3 linked regions of the Struthio camelus genome follow. Each later gene encodes a partner of the first gene's protein in a complex. Links are inferred from orthologs where the notes say so. Each region holds a gene or a part of one and is shown on either strand. Other genes may lie near its edges.

Evidence for each region. Proteins that work in one complex are often made in the same cells at the same time.
Region 2: CDHR2 (region 1) and USH1C share a complex: the UniProt entries of both Homo sapiens proteins name them as parts of the IMAC/intermicrovillar adhesion complex. The link is inferred for Struthio camelus from reciprocal best matches to the Homo sapiens genes CDHR2 and USH1C.
Region 3: CDHR2 (region 1) and ANKS4B share a complex: the UniProt entries of both Homo sapiens proteins name them as parts of the IMAC/intermicrovillar adhesion complex. The link is inferred for Struthio camelus from reciprocal best matches to the Homo sapiens genes CDHR2 and ANKS4B.

What each region holds. Positions count from the first base shown.
Region 1 is NC_090954.1:10,026,926-10,034,213, forward strand, and holds the start of CDHR2 (cadherin-related family member 2), read right to left. Parts: upstream 3,001-7,288; 5' UTR 2,885-3,000; intron 2,798-2,884; 5' UTR 2,718-2,797; intron 2,092-2,717; 5' UTR 2,079-2,091; coding exon 2,033-2,078; intron 1,657-2,032; coding exon 1,591-1,656; intron 1,469-1,590; coding exon 1,329-1,468; intron 930-1,328; coding exon 876-929; intron 644-875; coding exon 554-643; intron 17-553; coding exon 1-16. UniProt on the Homo sapiens protein: Intermicrovillar adhesion molecule that forms, via its extracellular domain, calcium-dependent heterophilic complexes with CDHR5 on adjacent microvilli. Thereby, controls the packing of microvilli at the apical membrane of epithelial cells.
Region 2 is NC_090946.1:20,461,679-20,469,254, forward strand, and holds the start of USH1C (harmonin), read left to right. Parts: upstream 1-4,559; 5' UTR 4,560-4,574; coding exon 4,575-4,643; intron 4,644-4,960; coding exon 4,961-5,028; intron 5,029-7,028; coding exon 7,029-7,172; intron 7,173-7,576. UniProt on the Homo sapiens protein: Anchoring/scaffolding protein that is a part of the functional network formed by USH1C, USH1G, CDH23 and MYO7A that mediates mechanotransduction in cochlear hair cells. Required for normal development and maintenance of cochlear hair cell bundles.
Region 3 is NC_090956.1:9,588,105-9,595,849, forward strand, and holds the start of ANKS4B (ankyrin repeat and SAM domain-containing protein 4B), read right to left. Parts: upstream 3,018-7,745; 5' UTR 2,925-3,017; coding exon 2,761-2,924; intron 1-2,760. UniProt on the Homo sapiens protein: As part of the intermicrovillar adhesion complex/IMAC plays a role in epithelial brush border differentiation, controlling microvilli organization and length. Plays a role in assembly of the complex.

The DNA of each region.
Region 1 (7,288 bases):
TGTCGGCTGTCATGTTCTGGAGACACAAGGCAAGCAGTGGTGGCATCGCCCAGGAGGGCAGGGGAAGTGGCACTGAGCCTGACCCCGCCAGCCCTAGCCTGGGGTGCCTCGGCCCTGTGGGACTGCTTGGTGTTGTGGGCTGCACAGGGCTGAGCTGCTGTCCCTGCTCACGCCGAGCGGGGGGCCAGATCTAGGTTCCCCCTCACCTTCTGTGGGGCTTCCTAGGAGCCAGGGCTGTGACCATCGGGGAGGGTCAGGCTCAGACCCATAGCCTGTCTGCACCCCGAACCGGCCTCACCCCAGCCTGGGTGGAGAGGTGGCTCAGGCACTCCCTGATCGACTCATGGCAAGGGCAGAGTCCCAGCCCTCCCCAGCGCCCAGGCCTGGCACGGAGGCACCCACCCAGGAACAGCCCTGGCACGTGCTGCTCCAAGATCCAGCCTTCCCCGGTGCGCAGTCACCCCCTCCCAGGTTCGCAGTCACCCTGCTTCCGGCACACCCATGCCACCGGTGCCAGCCCCGCACGCCTGCCCTCCTCCCTGTGGGAAGCTACCTCCGCAACGGTGGTTTCATACGGCAGGTTCTGGAAGATGGGGGCATTGTCGTTACGGTCCTCCACGATGACCGTCAGTTTTTTGGAGACCTACCGGGAGCAGCGGGCATCAGTGACGGTGCAGAGCAGGGGCAGGGAGATGGGGTGCCCAGGAGAGCTGGGTGCTGCTCCGGCGCCCCACGTCCCCACGGCTCTGCACCCGTCCGGCGGCGCAGCGTTGCCCCGGCACCCTTCACCACTGGTCCTTGTCCACGCTGAGACCCTGCTTGGCCCCAGCTGCTGCCACAGCCACCCCCTGCCACACCGCGACCCCGGCACTCACCGCGTCGTTCTGCCCGTCGGACACTGTGATGGTGAGCGTGAGCCTGGCCAGGGACTGTGGGGACACACATGGAGACACACATGGAGACACACACTCAGTCAGAGCCAGGCAGGGCTCAGTCCTCCCAGCCACCACCCCTGGGTGCGCTGCTCCCCCTGGCCGGCTCTCCCTCCCCGAGCTGGGGTTGGGGGCCAGGGAGCTGGTGGCAAACGTCCCTCGCTCCCTGCCCCAGCCCTGGGCTCCCTGACGTGCACCTCTGCCTGCAGCCTCCAGCCCGTGGCGGTTCCCCCGGCACAGCCCGGAGCTGCCCATGGCCTTGCCCCACGGCAGGGACCCACGGTGCTGCACGAGCAGCTCTCCCAGAGGACTCCTCGCTCTGCTGTCTGTCCCCCCAGAGCCCGCCAGTGCCCGAGATGCCAGCTCACAGCTCGGGGCCGGGGCCTCTGCCCTCACCTCACGGTCCAGGAGGTTCTTGAGCAGCACTTTGCCCGTGTGGGCCTCGACAGAGAAGTAGAAGGCCTCTGACCCACTGATGCTGTAGGTGAGTGGGTCCCCGTCCGCATCAATTGCCTGCAACTGGAAGGCCTCCTCGCCTGGGCACAAGGGCAGCGTCAGCACCCGCCCAGGGCTGCCGGGTGTGGGGGGACGGCTGGGTGCTCCCCCGGCACCCCAGGGCCTCTCCTCATCCGGGCAGCTCTGAAGCTGCCCCACTCACCAATCTTCAGGTCCTCTGGCACGTACACGAGGGTCATGTTGAAGTAGGGGGCTGTGTTCCCTGAAACTGCAGCGAGGACGTGTGCTGAGCACAGCCCTGAGCTGGCCTCTGCCCGGGCCCTGCACCGCAGAGCCAGCAGAGCCTGCCCAGCCCCAGCGCTCAGCTCCTGGAGGTGCTTTGAGTCCCGGGGGGCCAGGGAACCCCCCAGCCTGCTGTTTCTCACCCTCCCTCCTTGTGTCGTCCCCCACCTCCCAGGTCCAGGCCACCCCTGCTCCCTGGGGTAGGAGGATAGCCGCTGGGTCCTCAACACTGGTGCCAAGGGGGTGGGCACCTGTTTTGGGGGTCCCGGCTGCCCTCAAGGAAACAAGGACGAGAGCCGGGGGCCTCAGGCACCTCCAGCGCTTCCCACCCACCCTGGCAAGCCACCAAGCAAAGTCCTCACCTGCCGCCAGGAAGAAGGGGAACAGCACCAGCACGCGCCCTGCCATCCTGCTGGCAAGCCTGCGGGCACACATGGGAGACCCAGCACCTCCGGGTCAGCAGCCGGCCTCTCCCGCCGGCCGCCCCGGCCCCTTCCTGGGGGGCAGCGCCCCAGGCAGGGGGACCCAGCTCGGGTGAGCTGAGCGGGACTGAGTGTACCGGGGAGCAAGACGCCAGGCTCCATGCTGTCCCCAAATCTGTATGGGGCAAGCTGCGCCTGTTCACAGCCCACCACGGGCTCTGGGGCCACGGGCAGCCCCCAGGCACGGGGACAGCCCATCCCGTAAGCCCCGGAGGGCTCGGTTGGCCGGGGGTTCGGCTGTCCCGCCGGGAAGCTGCTGGGGAGAGCCCACGCAGGCGTCCCCCAGGCCCTCCCAGCCCCATGGCGCTGGGATGCTGGAGCCACCCGTGTCCCCAGGCTGCAGCAGCCATTTGGGAGAGCCTGGGATGGGACTGCTGCTCTCCTGGGGTGCCAGGTCCCACCCATAGGAGCCTGGACACGGGGCGCTCGGAGTCCAGGCACAAGCTGTAACACCGCCGCGGCTGCCCCCCTCCTCGGGCCACGGCCCGCAGCTCTTCTCTGCCGCCGGACACCCACCGCCTCCCGTCACCGCTGGACCGCGGGGGCTGGGGCCGGCATCCCTTACCTGCGGCCGGGTCCGCGGGGATGCTGCTGGGCAGCTGCCTGCACCCACACCCTGGCACCGCGGGGGACCTTTGCCTCCTGCTGTAAACAGGTTCATCAATCATTAACTGGAATTAGGGAGTGAGAAATCCATTTTCACCTTCCTCCTTCCTCGAGCTCATCCCCCACCTCCCGGGTCCGGCCTGGCCCCGTGCTCGCTCCTCAGCCGCAGCCCCCCAGCCCCCCGCGCTGGCTGCTGTCCCCGCGGCTCCCGCGGGTGCCAGGAGCGCGGCAGGGCCCACGGCGGGGCGGAGGGACTCCAAGCAGGCCAGGATGGAGGGGACCGCCCTCTGAAATGGGTTGAGGGCACTGGGGATGGACCCTGTCCCCTGGGTCGGGGACAGCTGGCTCCCGCTGGGGCAGGGGGTGAGCGGAGTGGCTGCCGGGGCGGGAGCCCGGGGCCCTGCAGCCCGTGCCTGCTAGCTCCTCTCTCCTTCCTGGGGAGCTCGGGGGGCTCAGCCCGGCCTCCCTGACCTACTTGGGGCCGGCCGGGGACAAGGGCGGATTGTGCGTCTCTGCTCAGGCAGAAGGGGGCCGGGAGGCGGGGGCGCGGGCCTGCCAGCCCCAGCCCCGAGGGCCTGCAGCACCCGGCCGGGGGGGTCCCAGCACCTTCACCCCCTTTTCACCGGGGACCCCAGGGGGCAAGGGGCTGGGCAGCCCTGCAGGGTGCAGCCAGGGGGACTCAAGGGTGCCCCCAGGACATCCAGCCCCACCAGGTACTTTCCCCACATGCTGGGGTGAGGGGAAGCAGGCTGGCCTGGGGCACCCCAGCAGAAACACCCGGGCCGGACCAGGACACCCCAGCACAGCCCCCCGGGCCAGACTGGGACACCCCAACAGAGACCCCAGGCTGGACCAGGACACTCCAGCAGAGACCCCAGGCCGGACCAGGACACCCCAGCAGAGACCCCCGGGCTGGCCTGGGACACCCCAGCAGAAACACCCGGGCCGGACCAGGACACCCCAGCACAGCCCCCCGGGCTGGCCTGGGACACCCCAGCAGAGACCCCCGGGCCAGACTGGGACACCCCAACAGAGACCCCAGGCTGGACCAGGACACTCCAGCAGAGACCCCAGGCCGGACCAGGACACCCCAGCAGAGACCCCCGGGCCAGACTGGGACACCCCAGCAGAAACATCCGGGCCGGACCGGGACACCCCAGCACAGCCCCCCGGGCTGGCCTGGGACACCCCAGCAGAGCCTCCCGGGCTAGATCCGGACACTCCCCAGCGCTGCCCTCCGAGCCGGGCGCGTGCGCTGCCGCTCGAAGCATTACGGCGCAGAGCGCCCCGCGGCCCGGCACGGCGCCTCGCGGTTTCGTCGGCGCCGCTCTTGGGCGTAGTAGGGTTGGGGGGGACGGGCGCGCCCATTCGCGTGGCGGGGGGGGGCTGGCGGCGCGGCGCGGCCGGTTCCATCGGGGCGGCGGGCGCAGGGGTACCATGAGGCGGGGCTGAGGCCGGGCCGAGGCCGGAGCGGGAGCGGCACCGGGAGGGACACCGGCACCGGGAGGGACACCGAGCCCGGCGGCCGCGCCATGCGAGCGGGCTGAGCCGCGGGCGGGCACCGAGCGGCCTTCGTGCGCCGGGCAGAGCGGGCGAGCGGCGGGGGCGGCGCCTCCGGTAGGTGCGGGAGCGGCGGCGCCGGGGCCGGAGCCCGGGTAGGGGGGTGGTAGCATGGGGCGGGCAGCGCCGGTGCACCGGGAAGGGGGCGGGCAGGGCTCGGTGCACCGGGAAGGGTGCAGGCAGGCTGGGTGCACGGGGAAGGGGGCAGGGCCGGTGCACCGGGAAGTGGGCAGGCAGGCTGGGTGCACCGGGAAGGGGGCAGGGCCCGGTGCACCGGGAAGTGGGCAGGCGGGCCCGGTGCACCGGGAAGGCGGCAGGGCCCGGTGCACCGGGAAGGCGGCAGGGCCTGGTGCACTGGGAAATGGGCAGGCAGGCCCGGTGCACCGGGAAGGGGCAGGCAGGCCCGGTGCACCGGGAAGGGGGCAGGGCGCGGTGCACCGGGGAAGTGGCCAGGCCAGCCCGGTGCACCGGGGAAGTGGGCAGGGCCCGGTGCACCGGGAAGAGGCAGGCAGGCTGGATGCACCGGGAAGGGGGCAGGCCCGGTGCACCAGGAAGGGGACAGGACCTGGTGCAGCGGTGCCAGGGGGTGGGGCAGGCCGGCCCGGTGCACCGGGAAGAGGCAGGCCAGGCCCGGTGCAGCGGTGCACGGTGGCAGATGCACGGGCAGGGCCTGATGCCAGGCGAAAGGCAGTGAGCAGGGCTGTGGGGCCGGCGCACGGCGGGCGGGTGGCTGCGTGGGGCGGCAGGACCCGCTGCTCCGGGGCTGGACGCGTGGGGCAGGCGCAAGGCGGTGGGTGTGCTGGGGTGGCTGCCGCCGGGGACGGGCGGAAAAAGCCCCCAGCTCTCTGGGAGCCCCCCAGGGAGAGCAGGGCCGCGCCGGGCGCCTCGGGTCTGCTCGGGGCATCGGGGAGGGCAGCAGAGCTGGGGCGGGCTGCGCCGGGCGCCCGCCTCCTTTTGGAGCCCAGCGGCGCTCTCGTCCCTTCTGCGGGGGCTGCCGGGCCGCCCTGTTTCTGCCCCGCCGTGTCTCCGGCTGCGCAGGAGTTGTTGGCTTGCGTCGAGGCTGGGTTTTGTGTCGCTGACTCGAAGGGCACTTTTTATAGGACGAGATAAAAGTGCTCCGTCTGCCGCTCCCGTTCCCAGCGCGGCGCTGCTTGACCTGAAATCGGTCATCTCCAGCCCCGCGCGGGGTGAGCGCCGTGTTGCGTGAGGAGGGACGGAAGGGGAAGTGGCGAAACTCTTGAGAAAGTCGTAAATGGAGAAGCTGCTTGGAAATAAATAAACCCTTAGACGGTGTTGCGTATACCACGATCGCAGGCGGTGTGCGTGTGCCAGGCTGGGCTCACGAGCAGCCTCGTCCCACAGAGGTTGTGTGGGAATGGGGGTATCCGTAGCTTGGGATGTGCGAAACCTACAGCCTGAGCTCTGCAGGCCTGCAGGATCTCTGGGTTTGGTGCTGCGCGCCAGGGTTTGCTTCCTCAGGCAGAAGTTCAGCGGCTGAACTCTGCTGGCAGCCTGCGCCATGGTGGATGCTGTCTCTCCGCTGTCGGGCCAGCACGTCTTCCTACAAGTGCGTCTTGGTTTTGTTGCGGCATCTCGGATGCAGACTGCGCCCCGGGAGCCCTGCACCAGCCCCTTGCCTCTCGGACAGCCGGCTGAGCGGGTCTCGCCCGCGCGTCTGCAGCTCCGGAGCTTCGTCCTGTGCCTTCCTCCTCGCCACCGTCCTGCGTCGCTGCCCCGTTCGGCCTCTCCTCCCACCTCCCCTGTGCCACCTGCACCTGTTTTGGCTCCTTCACTGGCTCCCGAGGACCCGAGTCCCCTGGGAGGCGCAGCTCCCGCGTGCAGCGGTGACGCCGTGCCCTGGGGAGATGCGCAGGTCAGAGGCTGCGGAGGCCGAATCCGTCCCTGTGGCAGGAGCGCTGTGCGCGGCCGGGGCGATGGGTGGAGGAGCAGGCGCGAGCCTGGCCTTGCCGGCTGTCGGATGGGAGCAGGCTGCCGTCTGATGTCACTGCAGTGCATGGTGGGTAATTATGCACGTTGCAATGAAAATAATAAGGCCGGCTCCATAGCGGCGTCTAAAAATACTGCTAATGCGGAGCGCCTGCTGGGTGCCTTTGTTTGTCACCTTTGGGTGTTTGCTTTGAAGCTGGCCAGGCTGCAGGAGCTGTGCTCTGCGTCTGCAAGTCCCTCGGGCTGTGGGATTTGGTTTGGCAGGTGCCCTGCAGCCCGTCTCGATCCCTCTGCTCGGGTGGCAGTGCCAGCAGGGCCGGGGCAGGTGTTGGCATGGGAGGCGGGAGCCGCCTGGGCTCAGGTGTGACTCCCCTCTGCACAGAGCCCTGCTGCACAAGGAGTCGCAGCCAGGGTGCGGGGCTTTGTCCCCCCCAAACCTTGCTTGGAACTGGGGCGCTCTGACTGGTGGCTGTTCCTGTGTCCCAGGGACCTACCCTGAGGCCGCCTTGCAGAGATGTGACCACGACCATGCTAGCCTGCCCTCGGGCAGACTGGCAGAGGTCAGGGTTAGGGCCCATGCAGCATGGTCTGTCCATCACCGGCTTTGCTCAGCCAGGTCAGAGCACCTTGTGGCTGGCGCTGCTGGGCTGTCCCTTTGGAGCTATACCTGCGGTCTGTCCTGGCACTAGCAGGACAGGAACCACCTCCTAGTCTCTCACTGCTTTCTGGATGAATGAAGGTCTAAGGGAGGGATGTGTGTTCGGAGTGAAGTGGTGTGATGGCGGGCACCTGGGCACTGGCCCTGGGCTGGAGCAGCCTGGGGTGACACAGGCGTGGTTTGCTTGAAGCCACCTCTGGTACGTGCCATGCCAGTCCTGTGGCCTGGGCACGCTGCGGGGATGAAGAAGGGACCGTGCCCTCCACCAGGGGCAGGCTGGCTGCTGCCGCCAATGCCAGCGTGGGGGCAGAGCGGGAGCCGGGTGGTGATCTCCACTCCGTGGGCAGGCAGGCGCCCTGCCGTCT
Region 2 (7,576 bases), on another chromosome or scaffold:
TTTCCCGCGCCTCAATACAATCGTGTCAGGAAACACTGTTGCAACAGGGAGTTCGCATTTGCGGTTCTGCGCAGCAGCAGCCGGGGCTCAGGAGCGTCCAGAGCCACCTTAACTTTCCAGCGACGTGCATTTGTGCATGTGCAGTCATGTGCAAATGCGCTTCGTACATGGAGCGGCTCGGTCTGCCTGGCACGTCGTTTTGTCACTTACCTAGTCAAGTAAGTGCTCTGTAGAGCTCATGATCGTGTGAGCAAAGTAAGCTCAAAGAGCACTTTTTAAGGAAATGAATGGAAAAAAAGGTATATACCTTTAAGGGATGCTTTGCCGTAGCAGTTTACAACTGTCTCAGACTAAAGTTTTTAGTGCCTTTTTTTTTTTTTTTGCTAGTGAATGGGATTTCTCTGAGGTAAGTTCCAGAAAAGACAGTAGTGTAATGTTATGTTCTATAGTAGTTAAACGTGAACTGGTAATAAAACCCTTGACTAAAGAATTGTTAGAATGAAGTAGAGGGGCTGCAAATAACCAGCTATATACGAAATGAAGTCCAAAAACTTTAAGGACCTGGATACTGTGTACTTATGACTACTGGTATCTAGCAAGTTATTTCTGCCTTGCTACCTATTATTGTATAACTCCGCAGTGGGTTATGCAACTTGTCTATAAAGTCTGGGCAAACGGTTACCATCTTGAACCTTAAACCTTATTCCTTTTCGTCTCTGCTATAATTCATGAATCATCCTAGTCCCACCCTACTAACACAAGGAAGCTTTATCACCGCCATTCATTGGTGAAAGTAAATATGATGCATGTCTACATGAAAATGGTTTATCTGAGTAAGACAATATTGAAGCAGGTGTTCTCCTTTAAATTGTTTTGTATCAGCATGCTTTTAGTGGCCTCTGTAGAATTTTAATATCTTGTGTACTTGCTTTTGCTGTGTCAAAACAATGAAAGTGCACAGCTACAGGACCTGAGTTTCCGGTCAATTATTTGCCACTTCCATTTTGTTTTTGTTTCTCTATAATTTTAATCAGTCCTCCCTATCAACTAAGCAGCAAGCCTAGAGATTAATTATTCACAAGTATATTGGCCAGTTCTTCCATTTTCTGAAATAGTTTCCAAAGGCTTCGTAGTTCAAGTACAGTTTTATAGTAATTTTTGAAAGCTGATGGATTAGGCTACTGCTACAGTAGTGCCTCACTGTAATAAGCACTTTTGGTGTGGAAAATTCCAGGGTTTTTTTTTCACAGTTTTTATTCTACTAAATAACCTGCTATAGATCTCTTGCAGACTTTTTGTATGTAGGTGCAATTTTTGTGATGATTTCTTATTAATTTAAATGGACAAAACTGTGTGATATATGTAGTAAGAAATAGAGCATAAGCAACTTTTCATATGTATTCTGGGATTGAGAGTTACACAAGAACTATGTGAAAGTTGCACAACTGCTATAGTATCCTTAAATAATCAATATGAAATACCTTTATATTAAGAACATCCATTAAGTGTCTACCTAAATAACATATTGCTTCTTAATAGAGGTATCTGCAGCTGTTTATCCTAGCATTTCTGTATCTGCTACAAGATATGATTTTGTAAGATGTGTAATCACATGAGCTTTGACCTTTCATATAAGAGACTACAAATACAGTACCTAATGTCTTACGCTAAACAATCAGGACACATGTTCATTTTATCAAGTCTCCACACAACTGATTTATTTTTCAGTTGGTAAATTGTGCTGTGTTTTAGAAAGTGCGGCAGATGTCATGCTGTTCACTATTTACTGTTTTGTGTTTCAAGTTCAATGGTGCATGTGTTGAAGCTCACTGAGGAAACAATAAATCGATGTGTCCATTTATGCATATTCATTCTTGCTTACAGAATCTGTCTCTATGTCAGTTTTCTTAAAAACATATTTGAACCTGAAGCCTTTAACAATTACACCGATGTTAAAATGAACTATTAGATTTGACTAGATCAGCAATCAGCTCCGTGTTTTACAATAGCTGGTAGCAAAATGCTTCTGCAGCTAGTGAAAGAAGCCCATAATGGAGAGCTGTGTCATGGCCTGCGCTTATAACCAAGAGGTTTTCTATCACTTGCAGTCTCTGTTTTAATTCCAGATGCTATTTTTATTTAGATAAATGTCTGTTGCATGCTTCTTTGTTTTTAAGCTTGCTATTTCAATACCAATGTAATGGCAATGATGGCACTACTCCAACACTGTGTCCAGATAGAATATCCGAGGAATTACACCAAGAGGTTAGAAACAAGCTTCAAAAATTCACTATGCTGAAGTCAGAGGTTAGGAGAAGTCCATCTTGTTAACCTTGTTGAAGAGATAGGTATGTGTCTTTGTCATAGTTGGTACATTAGCAGAGGAGTTTACTCTCTCTGTGTCATAGTTGGTACATTAGCAGAGGAGTTTACTCTCTCTGTGTGTGTACTTATATAACGCTGAGTACTGGATCCACTCATCATGCACATTACCTTTGTAGGTATGAAACAGAATGGTGTGTTATAGCCCTCCGACACAGAGAAGATGTTTCTGAAAAAATAAGGTTACTCATATTTAACAGACCCTTATGTAAAATAATCAGATAATTTACATACTGGAGGTGGAATAATCTGTCCAAATTTTGCATAGAACTTCAGTTCATTCTAGTCTAAGTTTGTCACTTCAGGATTCCTCTGTAGTCATTGGAGAAAGGATGTAATGAAGTGTCTTCTGCAGATGTCTAGGATGAAGTATCAAGTGGAAGTGCCTGCCTTTATCCATTGACTATGAAGGAATCCCAGTCATATGCTTTAAGCTATATGTCTAACCTACAGATGAGATGAAGCCCTCCTGCTCAGAGTTGGGTAGCTTTCTAAAAGAGATGGTGCAGTTCAACCAGAAGCCATGGGCTTGGTGCACAAATCAGCAGAAATGGTATAAAAGTTGAATATAATGAAAATGAGCAGAATGGACTCTCCTGGGTTTACAGGCTATGAAATCATCTATCCCATGCCTCCACAGTTACATTTCTCAAGAACCAGAGAGCTACTAAAACATTTTACTGGTCCAGGTTACACCATGTTGTCACTGATTTATTGCTTAACCTGTGAGGGCAAGAACTTTTGAGATTTCTGCAGAGTCAGCTTTTAGAAGCTGCTGATGAGACTAGCTAAACTGTATACTTACAATAAGGCTATCCCAAGGAGTTAATTATTTAGAAGAATGGTAAGAGATGGCAGGTGGCTACAATAAAAATGATAGTTGGTGAAATAGGAGGCAGCAGGAGAAGAATGACCTGATTAGAGAGAAGGTCCAGGAAGACTTTCCCAGCAGTCGTGTTCTGAATAGATGAGACAACCAACATCCAGGTAAACTTCACAAGGAAGGAGCAGGTTGCTGGCTTAGAGTGAGAAGTGTGGTAATCAAACAGAAAAGAAAGGCCGAATGTAGTGTGAGAAGAAATTTAGATGCAGACCTTTGCTGCCTAAGGAGGGTGGGAGACGTGCCCACCAGCTAGTGCATGAGAGAAAAAGTACGTTGTTACTGGTTGCTTTCCCAGTCAGAAAGAAAGAAGATGAGGGTTTTGGCCTTTTCTCTGCGAGGGAAACAGGTTGACGTATTTGGTACTCTTCACGAGATCATATAAGCAGGCTTGTACAGAACCATAGTTAGCAGTAGAAGTTGAGTCCCTTAGACCAGGCCCTAAGCTGATTCATGCTGTGAGTATTTTTACTGATGGGAAAGAGAGAAATGAATATTGGACTTAGAAGCAACTCAAGGTGATAAATATAAAACTATGTATGGTATTGGTGAACCAGTCAGTTATGAATGCAAATGTATTATTTCCTTTTAAGGTGTTTTGAAATTCACTGTGAATAAATTAGTTTACTTGCTAGTAAAGCAATCTTGAGTAGGATTCATGCAGTCCTGTCCTGTGTGTAATTTTTCTAGCCTTTAATTGTTTTGAAAGTATTCTCTTCCACAGGATATAATTAGGAGAAAATCACTTATAAGTGGAGTCTGGCTGACTTCAGAGAGCAGAAGGGGTTGAAGAGAATATGAAGCATTTATTTAGTTTAGACTATACTACAAACTGGTGCAAATCTAGAAAGAAAGGAACTTCCTTTAAGTATGCAAATTAGTCTTCAGACTGCACGTCACAGTAATATTAGCCTTTAGGTCACATGTAAATGGTTTTCCTAAACATTAAGCTTGTCTAAAGGAAAATCGTGGTGATGTGAACTCTTACTGCAAGTAAGATCAGTGGGGTTCTTACTGTTGTCACTGAATATAAATTGAGCTCCTCATATCAGATTTCTGTATTTTTTTTAAATTTTATTTTACTGTAATTATCCAAGAACAGGCATTGTAATGTGATACTAGTTTAAGTAAATGTACTATTACTAAGGGAGGAAAGAATAACTAGCCAGTTCTATCACTTCAGAGCTGGAGCGAAGAGGAACAGCAGTGTAGAAGTTTGCATAATGTTTAAGTGAAATACGGAAATCGGTGGTTTGGAGCCACGGAACATAGGTTATAATTATATCAGTGTGATGTTTTTATCTGTGACAGCATGTGCTATGTTAATGAATGGCCAAAAAGGTTTCTGAAAACATTTATTCAACAGTACACTGATTATCAGGTAAGGCAAATGTGATATTATTGTGACAGCATTGCTCTGCTGAGAAGAAATCTAGCATATAGAATGTGTGATTTCAGTATTTACTGCCTTGTTCAATTACTGCAATATTAATTTTAAAAAGTCTTATTGCAAGCTTCGTATTTTGAGATAAAAATACTGTCTTGCAAAAATGTGCTGCTTTATTATTTTTTTTTTTTATAAAAACTTTCCCCTCTTGAAGTCTTTGGACTATGGCTTAGGAATTTGTGAAAGCTTTGTATGTTCAACATTTGTAGCTACTTAGTAAGAAAATTACAATAAAGTCTTTGGATTTTCAGGTTAATCTGCTAATTGACAATGAAGCTGAGAAGGATTACCTTTATGATGTGCTGCGGATGTACCACCAGTAAGATCTAGCTTTATATATGTTTGTGTTGAATTTCACCAATATTTTTAAAATTGAAGGATGAACATTCAATATTTTATGAAAGCAATCTTTCTGAATACCATCTAGAAAATAAAAGTAATAATTTCTAATTCTATGTAACGAAGTCTTATACTTTTGCAGAGTAGCCTGCTGACAAAAAAGGAGTATTTACTGTAGCTAATACTACAGTTTCTTTGTTTTTATGGCTTGTCGGTTTTGTGGACCTTTATTGGGAGGGAAACAAGAATGCAGGTAATAAAGCCGTACTTAGGAAACGGAAGAGAGTATTGATAACATTCATTAATATTTTCAAAGAATGCATATTTATTTTGGTCGGAGGCTTTTGCTGAGTCTGCTTTTTAAAGATTTTTGTAAACTATTCAGATTAAGAATTATTTTCAACTGTTTTATCTGAAAGCTGAAAAAAATTAGGCTGGGCGTCTGTCTAGCATGTTTAACAACTTCGATTTATTAAGACATAATGAAAAGGAAAAACTGTAAGGTGATAGGCCAATTACCAGTCCTTTTACTGAACTGATTTAAACCATGGTTGCTTAGGAGTTATATCACTGCAAATGAGATCAGCATCTGATCCATTGTTTCTCAAAGAATATGAGAATGTATTTTCCACTCATCACAGGCAACTGGCTCTGACGGACATTGTTTCCATTCATATCTTAACTAATAGCATCTCAGCTGAGTGAGATGTAGATGTTTCCATGCAGTGTTTGTACTGAGCTATCATTTTGGGTGTATTCAGCTGCATATCTGATTCTGTTTCAGTCGGGTCTGTCCAATTGTTTCTCCATTCATAAAGCCTGTTGTTTGGAAAGCAGGTTGAGTTGGTAGCTCTTAATTATTTAAAATCTTCTTGCAGTTACAAAATTAACAATGCATATAGTAACTTTTCCTCAATATCCAGAACTGCAACAGCTTTTGAGTAAAACTTCAAATATTGCTGTGAGGATTTATTGATCAAGCTGCTGCTGCTGCTTCTTTCTTTTTCAAATTAATTACAAAGCATTTCAAGGACAAAAATATACACAATTGCTATTGGCATTAATATTTAACATCTGCTTCACTGTGAATAGTGTTTGCAAATCAAAGTATATGGCCTCTAGTCTCATGTAATAGCCATTCCTGATCTGTATTTTCAGTATATATACCTCAAAAATATTTTATGTCAGGAAACCTAATTGGTGAGAGAGGGAACAGCAGATACTGTAGACTAAGTTTAACTGGATGCTACATAGGAATAGCTCCACTTATATAGAGCTGTTCCATGCTTGCAGCTGGGCAACAAAGACCACTTTCTAGAGCTATGAGTATCTCGGTGCTGACAGTATCAAGGATTACTTTGCATAGCTGTCACGAAAACAAATGGCCACAATAGTTTCACTTGTGTAGATTTTGTTAGTGGTTAACTTGGTTAATGACCCTTCAGTTTTGGTTTGTTTTGGTTTGAAACAAATCTTAAAACGGGTCTTTTCTCTATTGGGTATCATGTGATTTCTTCCTGGGTGGAAACAATTGATTAGTCCCCTGAATTCAGGAGAGGAAGGAATTTGTAGCCTTGGAAGGACTGTGAACTAGTAAGGAAATAGAAGTATAGTAGGCAGATATAACTGGTCTGGAAAGTTATTTCCAAACAATCCCATAAGTCTTCTGTTGGGGACTCTGAGAATGAAACTGAAGATGTCTTCTATAAAGATGTGATGTACATCATGTTAACAGATGTAAGGTATAGGAGACTTCAGTTATTTTTAAGGATGTGGTTACTGTTCCTACCTACCTATCTCGTTACAGAGGGTTTAGTTTTTCAAAGACTATTTTGCTTTGGTTTAAACAAGAGCTGCATAAATAACTTTCTTAGTAGGTTGAAGGCATACGCAGATATAACTTGCTCCACACGTAGCTTAAATTAAATAATACTTTGGTATGTTGGTTAGCTAAGCCTTTTTCTCACTGTAATTTTGTAGATCTATGAATCTTCCAGTGCTTGTGGGGGACCTAAAGCTCGTGATTAATGAACCAAGCAGATTGCCTCTGTTTGATGCTATCCGCCCACTTATCCCATTAAAACACCAGGTGGAGTATGATCAGCTTACACCCAAAAGATCACGGTAAGAGAATGCAGATAAGGTAGCGAAGTTCAGATAAATATACGCAAGAAATATTGCCTCATAGAGCTTATTTGAAAAATTACTTGAGCAAAATACCTGTTAGCTCTATAGAGCTGGGCACAATTTTTTGATGTTTGCTATAATTGCCAGAAGTACAGTTTTGAGCTACCTGAAACTGTTTGCCATGTAGTTTAATCTAGTAGAAGCAGGGTATGGGAGTCCAAAAACAAAGCTGAAGCAATCTTTTTTTTTTTTTTTCCTTCATTTTTCCTGCATTTAATAAAAAATTCTCTTACAGCTCTAGCCCTCTAGAAGCATACACAGCTTCCACAGTTGCAGGTGTCTTTCCTTGTTTAAAAAAAAAAAAAAACTTAATGGTTTTAGCAAACACACATCCATCAAAT
Region 3 (7,745 bases), on another chromosome or scaffold:
CTTTCTCTTTAACTCTTGCATTCATTTCACGCTGAACTGCTGCCTGCAGATTAGAATTGGTTTGAGTCTTTTCACTCATACTTGGTAGGATCAATATTAGCAATGGTTCAGAACAGCACGTGAATCTTCTGTGCCCGATAACCAAGGCACTCACCATATTCCAAAATCCTTAATAACTTCAGGGGTCAAATTTACAAAGAGAATTTCCTCTCTTGGGAGTTTTAAACATTTAAGTGTCTTGGGGGATTTATTCCACGGCCCTTGTGTTATGGATGAAATGGTGTGTCCTGTCACAGAATTTCCTTCAGGTGTTGATCTCTGGCTTTGCATATCACTGGGAGAAAAGCACTAACATATCTGAGGAGCGCTAAATCTGAGAACATCCTTCAGACTACAATGCCACAGGCGGGAGATGAGGGAGACTGCGGTCCCTGTGGACCCAGACACAGAGCTGCTCACACAGAGAAACAACAGCAAATCTGAGCGCAGGCATTGCTGCAAGGAGGTGACAGCTCAGGATCAGTTTTTGACTTAGACATATGGAAAATGTGTACCTATTTCTGCTTTCTGGCTCTGCCCGAGGGAACTGCCTGCCTGTGGTAGAGCATGCCCTAGAAGCCAGATTCCTTAATCCCCAATTTAGCAATCGGGCTACGTTGTCCTGCGTCTGGCTCAGGAGTGCCTAGAAGTGCTGGGTCATCCGTCCCCCCAGGTCTCTTCATAGCCGTTTGCTGTTTCTTTTCCTTCCAGCCTTTGGCTCTCAACTAATTCACAAGCTAGAGAGGTGATTCCCTACTCAGGGCGGCTTTGGATAAAGTCTGACATCTACTTTGGGTTCTCATACTCCTCTTTTCTCTCCTTTCCCAAGTGTGAGGAAGGAGGCAAAAGTGCTCACAAAAGTGAGCAGATCTGCTACTTGCTGTCTGCTGCTTGCTCTTGCCTCTGGTCGTGTATCTGCACAGCAGGCAGAGAGAAGATCTCTTACTGCCTGGGAAGACAAACTGTTTAAAGATGAAAGGGAGTTGTTGTTAATATTGCCACATTTTCTAGAGGCCGACTGTGTTGCAGGCTTCAGAGTCCTAAAATCTGCAACAACTCTAAAGAAAACCATCCTGTGTCTGAGTGCCTTTGTCAGGAAACCCCTGAAACCACCTCTACTTCAAGGAAAGGAAGAATTTGTTAAAAATAATCAAAATATTTTCTCACAAGAAAACATTGCTGGCCTGTAGAACAGGGAAAATCTTCCACAGTTCAGCTCTCTCCAGTGGCCAAGGAGGGATGAGTAAGACTACAGCGCTGTCTCTGACTGCCTCAGTCTATGGACTGTGTCAAGGAATCTTGGATTAAAATAGCGGTGAATGCATATGTTTGAAGATTTTGAGGGCAACACTATCCCAAAATTGTCCTATACCAAGAAAAATAGAGTCAGAAATATACTGAGTAACAAATACGTAGGAATTTTGATCTTTGTGTCATCTGCTGTGACTTCTATCAACATATATGGTAGATTATATATTTTTCCCTCAGATTCTGAAGATTATCTTGTTATTGTTTCCTTAGCTAGATGTTCTGTCTGTGTTCACAGACAAACCTGTATTGATTCTAGGTATTTCCGTGGAGCTGTATTAATTATACAAGTTGAAAATCTGTCAGTCTATTTTTGCTGCTTTTGGGGACACAGCAATAACCATACAGTCCAAAGGTCTTTTTTGTTGTGCTATTACAACCACACCTGAGCTCAGTGAGCTATAAAGCAAATCTATGACATGCCTATTCATAGTCTGTATTTTCAGTTCTATTTTTAAGAAAAGAAAACCGAAATACATCCAAATAGCTGTTCAACTTTTTCCTCTAATCTTCTTTCAGCTATTACAAGTGAAAATACAGGTCAATTTAATCTTCATCTCAGCCCAGAAAAAAACATTTTCTTTACTGTATCTCTGCACATGAAAAGCTTCTCTTTTATTAGATCTTTTTGCAGAACCACAGCATAAAAGATAGGCTTCAAGCAGAGAGAGTACAGAGGATGATACGGGGAGCTAGTGACCTTTTCAGTAATATATTTTAAGCATGTAGTATGTGTAAATGATTCCAATCAGAAATATTACTACTAGCAGGTACACCTGTATAAAACCTTCCTTTATTTTTTTCTTTTTTTTTAGTTTGCAAAGATCCTACCTGAGCCCCTGAAACAGTATCATGAACTTTTTAGCATGGTAGTAGTTGGTAATGATATAAAGAGCAGAGAAATAACAATTTTAGGTATTACCATCTCAAAACTATCAGTTGCGACGCCTCAGAAAAGCATTAGACCTTCACAGGCATTGACTGCACTTTGGAAGCAAACGACAGAGCTCTTTTGCTCAAAATGTTTCAAGACATTTCTTTATAGAGCTAGTTTCAAAGTATGTTATTCTCAAAGATGTAAGTTAACCTCTACAGAAGACAAACAGTAGTTTTTCTTTGACCTCCATTAAGGCCGGATTAGGTCCCAGACCCTGTTGCTACCGACTGCTGCCTGCAGACTCCATGTCCGTGACAGGGTCCCAGGGCTGTTGATGTGGCTTCGCTGACCTGCCGCTACAGGGCTGTTTGCAGGTTCATGGCCTAAACCAAGGTGAACGAAGAGACACAACCGTAGGAAGAAATTACCAGGATATTCAGCCTTTTGGGTCTGACACATTGGCAGCACTAGAAATGCTACACGCTGTTTATAGCTTTGTGCCACAAGCTCTAAGAAACTGAGCCCGATTCACTTACCCCCTCCGACATACAACTTCCAGAGCTTCCAGATACCCATGGTACGCTGCCAGGAGGGTGGGCGTCATCCCATCCTCATCCAAAGTATTGAGATCTTTTCTAGTGGCTTCTTTCAGGAGCTCCAAATTGCCATCAGCTGCTGCTTTGTGATACCTGGTGGACATTTTCAGTAATTTCTGGTTTCCCAGAGCAGGCCTGAACGACAGCCAGACAGGACAGCCACCCTTCCATTACAGGGATAGTTAATCAATAATTACAAGTTGAGACGTCATCCTCAGGATGGAAATGAGGGAGGCAAAGTTCATCCTAGCAGGAAAGTCGTCTGGAACTGTGCCTAAGAAACAAGGCAGCGGTATGTTTAATGCTTTCATTTTCTGAGAGGTGACTCTGCATTCCCCATTTACTGCAGTATTTGACTATTTCAACATAGAGGGGACTCATTCATCTTCTCTGTGTCTTAGCTGCTTTTGCCTAACTGTTCTGGGACAACTGACTTGAAAAGGAGATTTGCCGTTGATGTCAACAAGACCAAATTTCACCCTCAGTAATAAAGTATCCTTGATTTTTGATAGGATGAAATACTCTGTAAGCAGTTATTTTTACCAGTGAAGTCCTTTGTAACCTATCATTTATTGGGTTACTACATCTAAAAACAAGTCTCTCCCCTGCAAAACTGCCCACATCCCTGGAGCTGTTCTGCGTAGGCAGATCAACGTGTGGGTTGGGAACAGCCCTGGCAGGGCTGCGGTGGCGCTCAGCCAAAACTGGCCAGCGGGTCCACCAGTCCCAGCAGGCAAAACCACCGTCTAATGTGTGGTCCTTTTACCTCAAATTCCCTTTCATCAGAAAATCTTAAAGCACTTGACAAATACTAATTCATCTTACAGGTACTGTTATCTCCATTTTAGCTGCAGGTGAAAAAATTTGAATGATTTTCGCAAAGTGGCACAGGGAATTCAAGAAGGAGAAACCCAATGGGCCTGCGCCCACTGCCCTGATCTCCACTGTGCTCCTCACCTGGGAACAGGCCCCATTTTCACATATGTACCACTTTCTTTAGAAATGTTTCCCATTGATTTCACTGGAATTGCTTGAGTGATTATCAGCTACCTCTCTAAGTAAAGGCTTATAGAATTGGACCATAATTCTAATTCTGAGATTCAAAAGAATAACTAAGTGAAAAATAACTAAAATGGTAGTTTTAGAACAGTAGTTGAGGGAGAAATCAGTAAGAGACTATAGATAGCTTAATAAAATGCTGGAGGCTGTTATTCTGGTCACATTCATGACAGCTGCCAGATAAATGTTACTTTTTGTCAAGCTGTTTTCTACGACTAACTGAATTAACCTGTATCTTAGAGAACGTACTCTCGGCAATTAGCAGTGAGGTTTTGTTGCTTATTACGTCCCCTGCTACAGAGGCAAAACGAGCAATCGCAAACGAAGTCATTGTCTTGAATTGGTGCAATTACTGAGTGGAGTGCAACCTCATTTATTTCCCATAATGCCCTCTACCTAATTCGTGGGAGACCTCTCCAAATGGGCTTTCTCGCTTAATTATTTTCTCAGGCAGGGATTGAAGAGCTCTTCAGGAACAAGCTTTTACCTACATTTTCCTCCGTGAAGACAAGGAGAGTCAGTCAGGTCCTGTAACTGATTTTAATCTTTGAATAAACACGTCTACATAGGAGTAACCTAAAGTCCTGGTTTTCCTTCACGTCGTCCACAGCGGCGGCCGTCCCCAGGTGCTATCCTGCAGTGTCAGGCAAGTGGGGAAGGACCGTGCTTCACCCAGGCCAGCCTCCAGTCTGGCATTAGAAGACAGTTTTGCCTTCAGCCCTTTTTCCAGTTCCCCGCGTTGCCATCAACGCTTTTCTAACCAAAAACGCAAAGCTATTTATTCCATTTTCTGTTTAACCAGGCTCAGCACTGGGTTAAATTTACAACTACTAGAAAAAACATTGCAGGATGAAGACAGTGATACGTACACTTTGTTATGAATATATTAGATTGGCTGTTCCTTGTTGCCATTGAATTTTATTTGCTGTACTGGGTATTGTAAGCTCTTAGTCTCTCACGAGTGGGTCACGAAGGCAGGTATTGCACATGCCACCAGTGCCTGGTATGAGAGAGAAGACAAGGTTTTTTCCCGTACGGTTAAATTTCACACTCTTAGCAACACTAGCAACACCCATGAACGCGAGCTCGTGGCAAAGGAGAGTTTTGTATTCTGTTTTTCAAGACTGCTGTTTTCTACTATAGAAATACCTTCATTAGCTTTTGTGGCAATCAATTTAGCATGCAAAATGGTGATCTCAAAGTGATCTTTATCATGTCATAGGTGCAAATGTTTATTTTAAAAGACAGTTACTTCATCTGACATTAAGTGGAAAACTTTTGTTGCAAGTTCTAACTAGATGTAAAGCAAAACCCATTTCAAGTGGAGAGGTGCTCCAGGACTTTGCAAACTCTCTTGTTATTTATATCACAAAAAGGACATCACAAAAGAGAAAGAAAAGATCAAACAAAATCTCCATCTATTTCTAAAATCCTGGTATTTGTGAATCCTTGCCCCGCCTAAAAACCTCAATTTAAATGCAATAAATGTTTCAACAGCAAATGATGTTAAATTTCTCAGCGTGAGAGAGTTAAATTTCTCAGCCTGAGTGGAGATTTTTCTTCTGAGACTAAGGCTCAAAATTGTGAACTTTTAAAACTCCCTGAGTAGTTAGAATGAAGCTTTTCTTCTGGGGTTTGAAAAGAACTTCCAAACCATTTCACTTCCAATTGAAATGTCTTACCAGGCTCAGGAGAAAGCCTATTGTGATGGTACGTGTTGTTGTAAACTAATGAATTATTTAACTAGCAGTTTTGATTTTTATTATTGGATTTTGTTACGTCTATGATTATTTCTCCAATTTTTTAAGAACTATCTTAAATATGACATTAGCAGTTAAGCAAACTATTTAGGGTTTATTCAGACTTATTTGAAGACTACCATTAGTTATATTGTTCCGGATAACGAACCATTAGTTATGTTGTTCCAGATAATTCAGAGCCCAGTCTTGCTTCATGCCTTGGGAGAAAAACAGAGATGTTGTTGTGCCATCTGTTTTGCATGAGGTCTTATCTAGCACAGCATTTCCTCATCGCAACTTTTATAAGTGGCAAATGTGGTATGGTAAAAGCCGTACAGGGGGAGGTCTCCTCCGCTCCTCTAATGAGATCCCACTGGAACTAATGGGCCTTAGAGGAGAGCGGAGCTGGTCACACGGGGTGATCGCGGTTACACAATTCAGAGATGACGACGACAGTTAAACAACAATAAAAGCTTATTTCTTCACTCCTGATACAGGCACAACGCCTACCCCGGCGCCCCAGGATCCTGTCGCTATATGTAGTCTGGAGCGACCCTGTCTCCGCGGAGAGGCTGGGCGAGACGGGCCGGCGCCGACCGTGACCCCGTCCCGCGGTGAGCTCGGCTCGGGCACAGCCAGGCTCCAGTCCGGCGGTGCCGGGGCAGCCCCACGCTCTGCCCGCCCGGGTCGTGTCGGGAGCAAGGCCATCATCCATCGGGAAAGGTTATCCCCCAACTGGGAAGGCAATAACAGTGGCGGTACCAAAGGCGCGTCCCTCCTCAGGCGCGCCTCCGCCTCACCTCGCGCCCCTCCTCGCCGCCCTGCCTGCTGGGAACGGGCGAGCAGCCCGGGGGGCGTTCGTGGCCCTGCAAGCAGTGATGCTGCTTGTCGCGGCCTCGCGGCCCTTGGAATAGGTGTCCTAGCTGGGAGCGCTCAGCGGCAGCAGGTGTGGCCTGGCGTCGAGGCTTTTTGCGCTGCTGACGCCTCCTTCTTGCCTCTTTTTCCTTAATAACTTCCTTAATAACTTCAGCAGTGCTACAAATAGTCTCATGGAGAAGGAAAGTGAGCCCTGCTCTCGCTGCTGTCTGAAATGTTGTCCTACCACCAGTGTGTCAGAAGAGGACATCCAAGAGGACGTGAGCCATGCTCTCCAGGGTCAGTATGCGATGCCCTCGCTTCTGGGGTGTTCAGCGCTGGTCTTGGGTAATGCCTTTTTTCCCAAAAGTCAGAAAGTCAAAGAAGTAGAAGAGAAAAGCAGAGAAACAGGAGAGGAGACCTGCCAAGCTTTTGCAGCAAAAAAAAATGAGAGCCACGGAGCTGTTTTTGCTCTTCAGAGCATGAATTAACTGTTTAGCTATGTAACGCAGACCAAAATTATTCCTACAGGTTCAACAATTCTGACGGGTGGAACTGAATTTTTTGAGAAGAGGGACGGCTGTGCTTCCTCTGTAGCTCAAGTCGCACACTCTGAATTCAGACATGTTAAATGAAGCAACAGCCAATTATCTTAGCGCGCTTTGATGAACCGCATCCTCCAAACTTACGTACTGCCCGATTGCTATTAAGAGCTGCTAACGTGTGCTGCAGGGAAAATCCAGTTGTGGTGACCGCGGCAGTGGCATCGCTCTGCCTGTCAAACGCTGTCTGGTCCGACACCATCTTTCGCCTAACACAAGCCACAACCTGCTGCGAGGCATCTGAGGGTGGGCAAAACCCTTAGTGAACTCTAGCCGGCAGGGACGGTCTCTCCTCCTGCTTAGAGACCATGCGCTGCCTCTGCTCAGGCCTCCGCAGCCTTCCGCCAAGCTGGCAGCATCACTCAGACTTGAGGCGAGACTGAGCTTTCGCCAGCCGGCCTCACCCGCCGGCACCGGCCCAGGGTCAGCCAGGCTCTGGGAGCACCATCCACAGCTCCCCAGGTCTGAGAGTCTTTCCACCAACTTAATGAAGCTGTGAATCAGGGCAGGGAAACTGGGTAAGTTTTAACTTTGCGTCGGATTTGGTCCTGCCTGAAGGTACTTCGTTTGCACGGTTCTCTCGAGGGCGGGCACCTGAAGCCCTTTTTTCTCCCTGACTGTATTAATTAAACCCAACCTAATAAAAATAGATATGTTAAACTAGCGTATG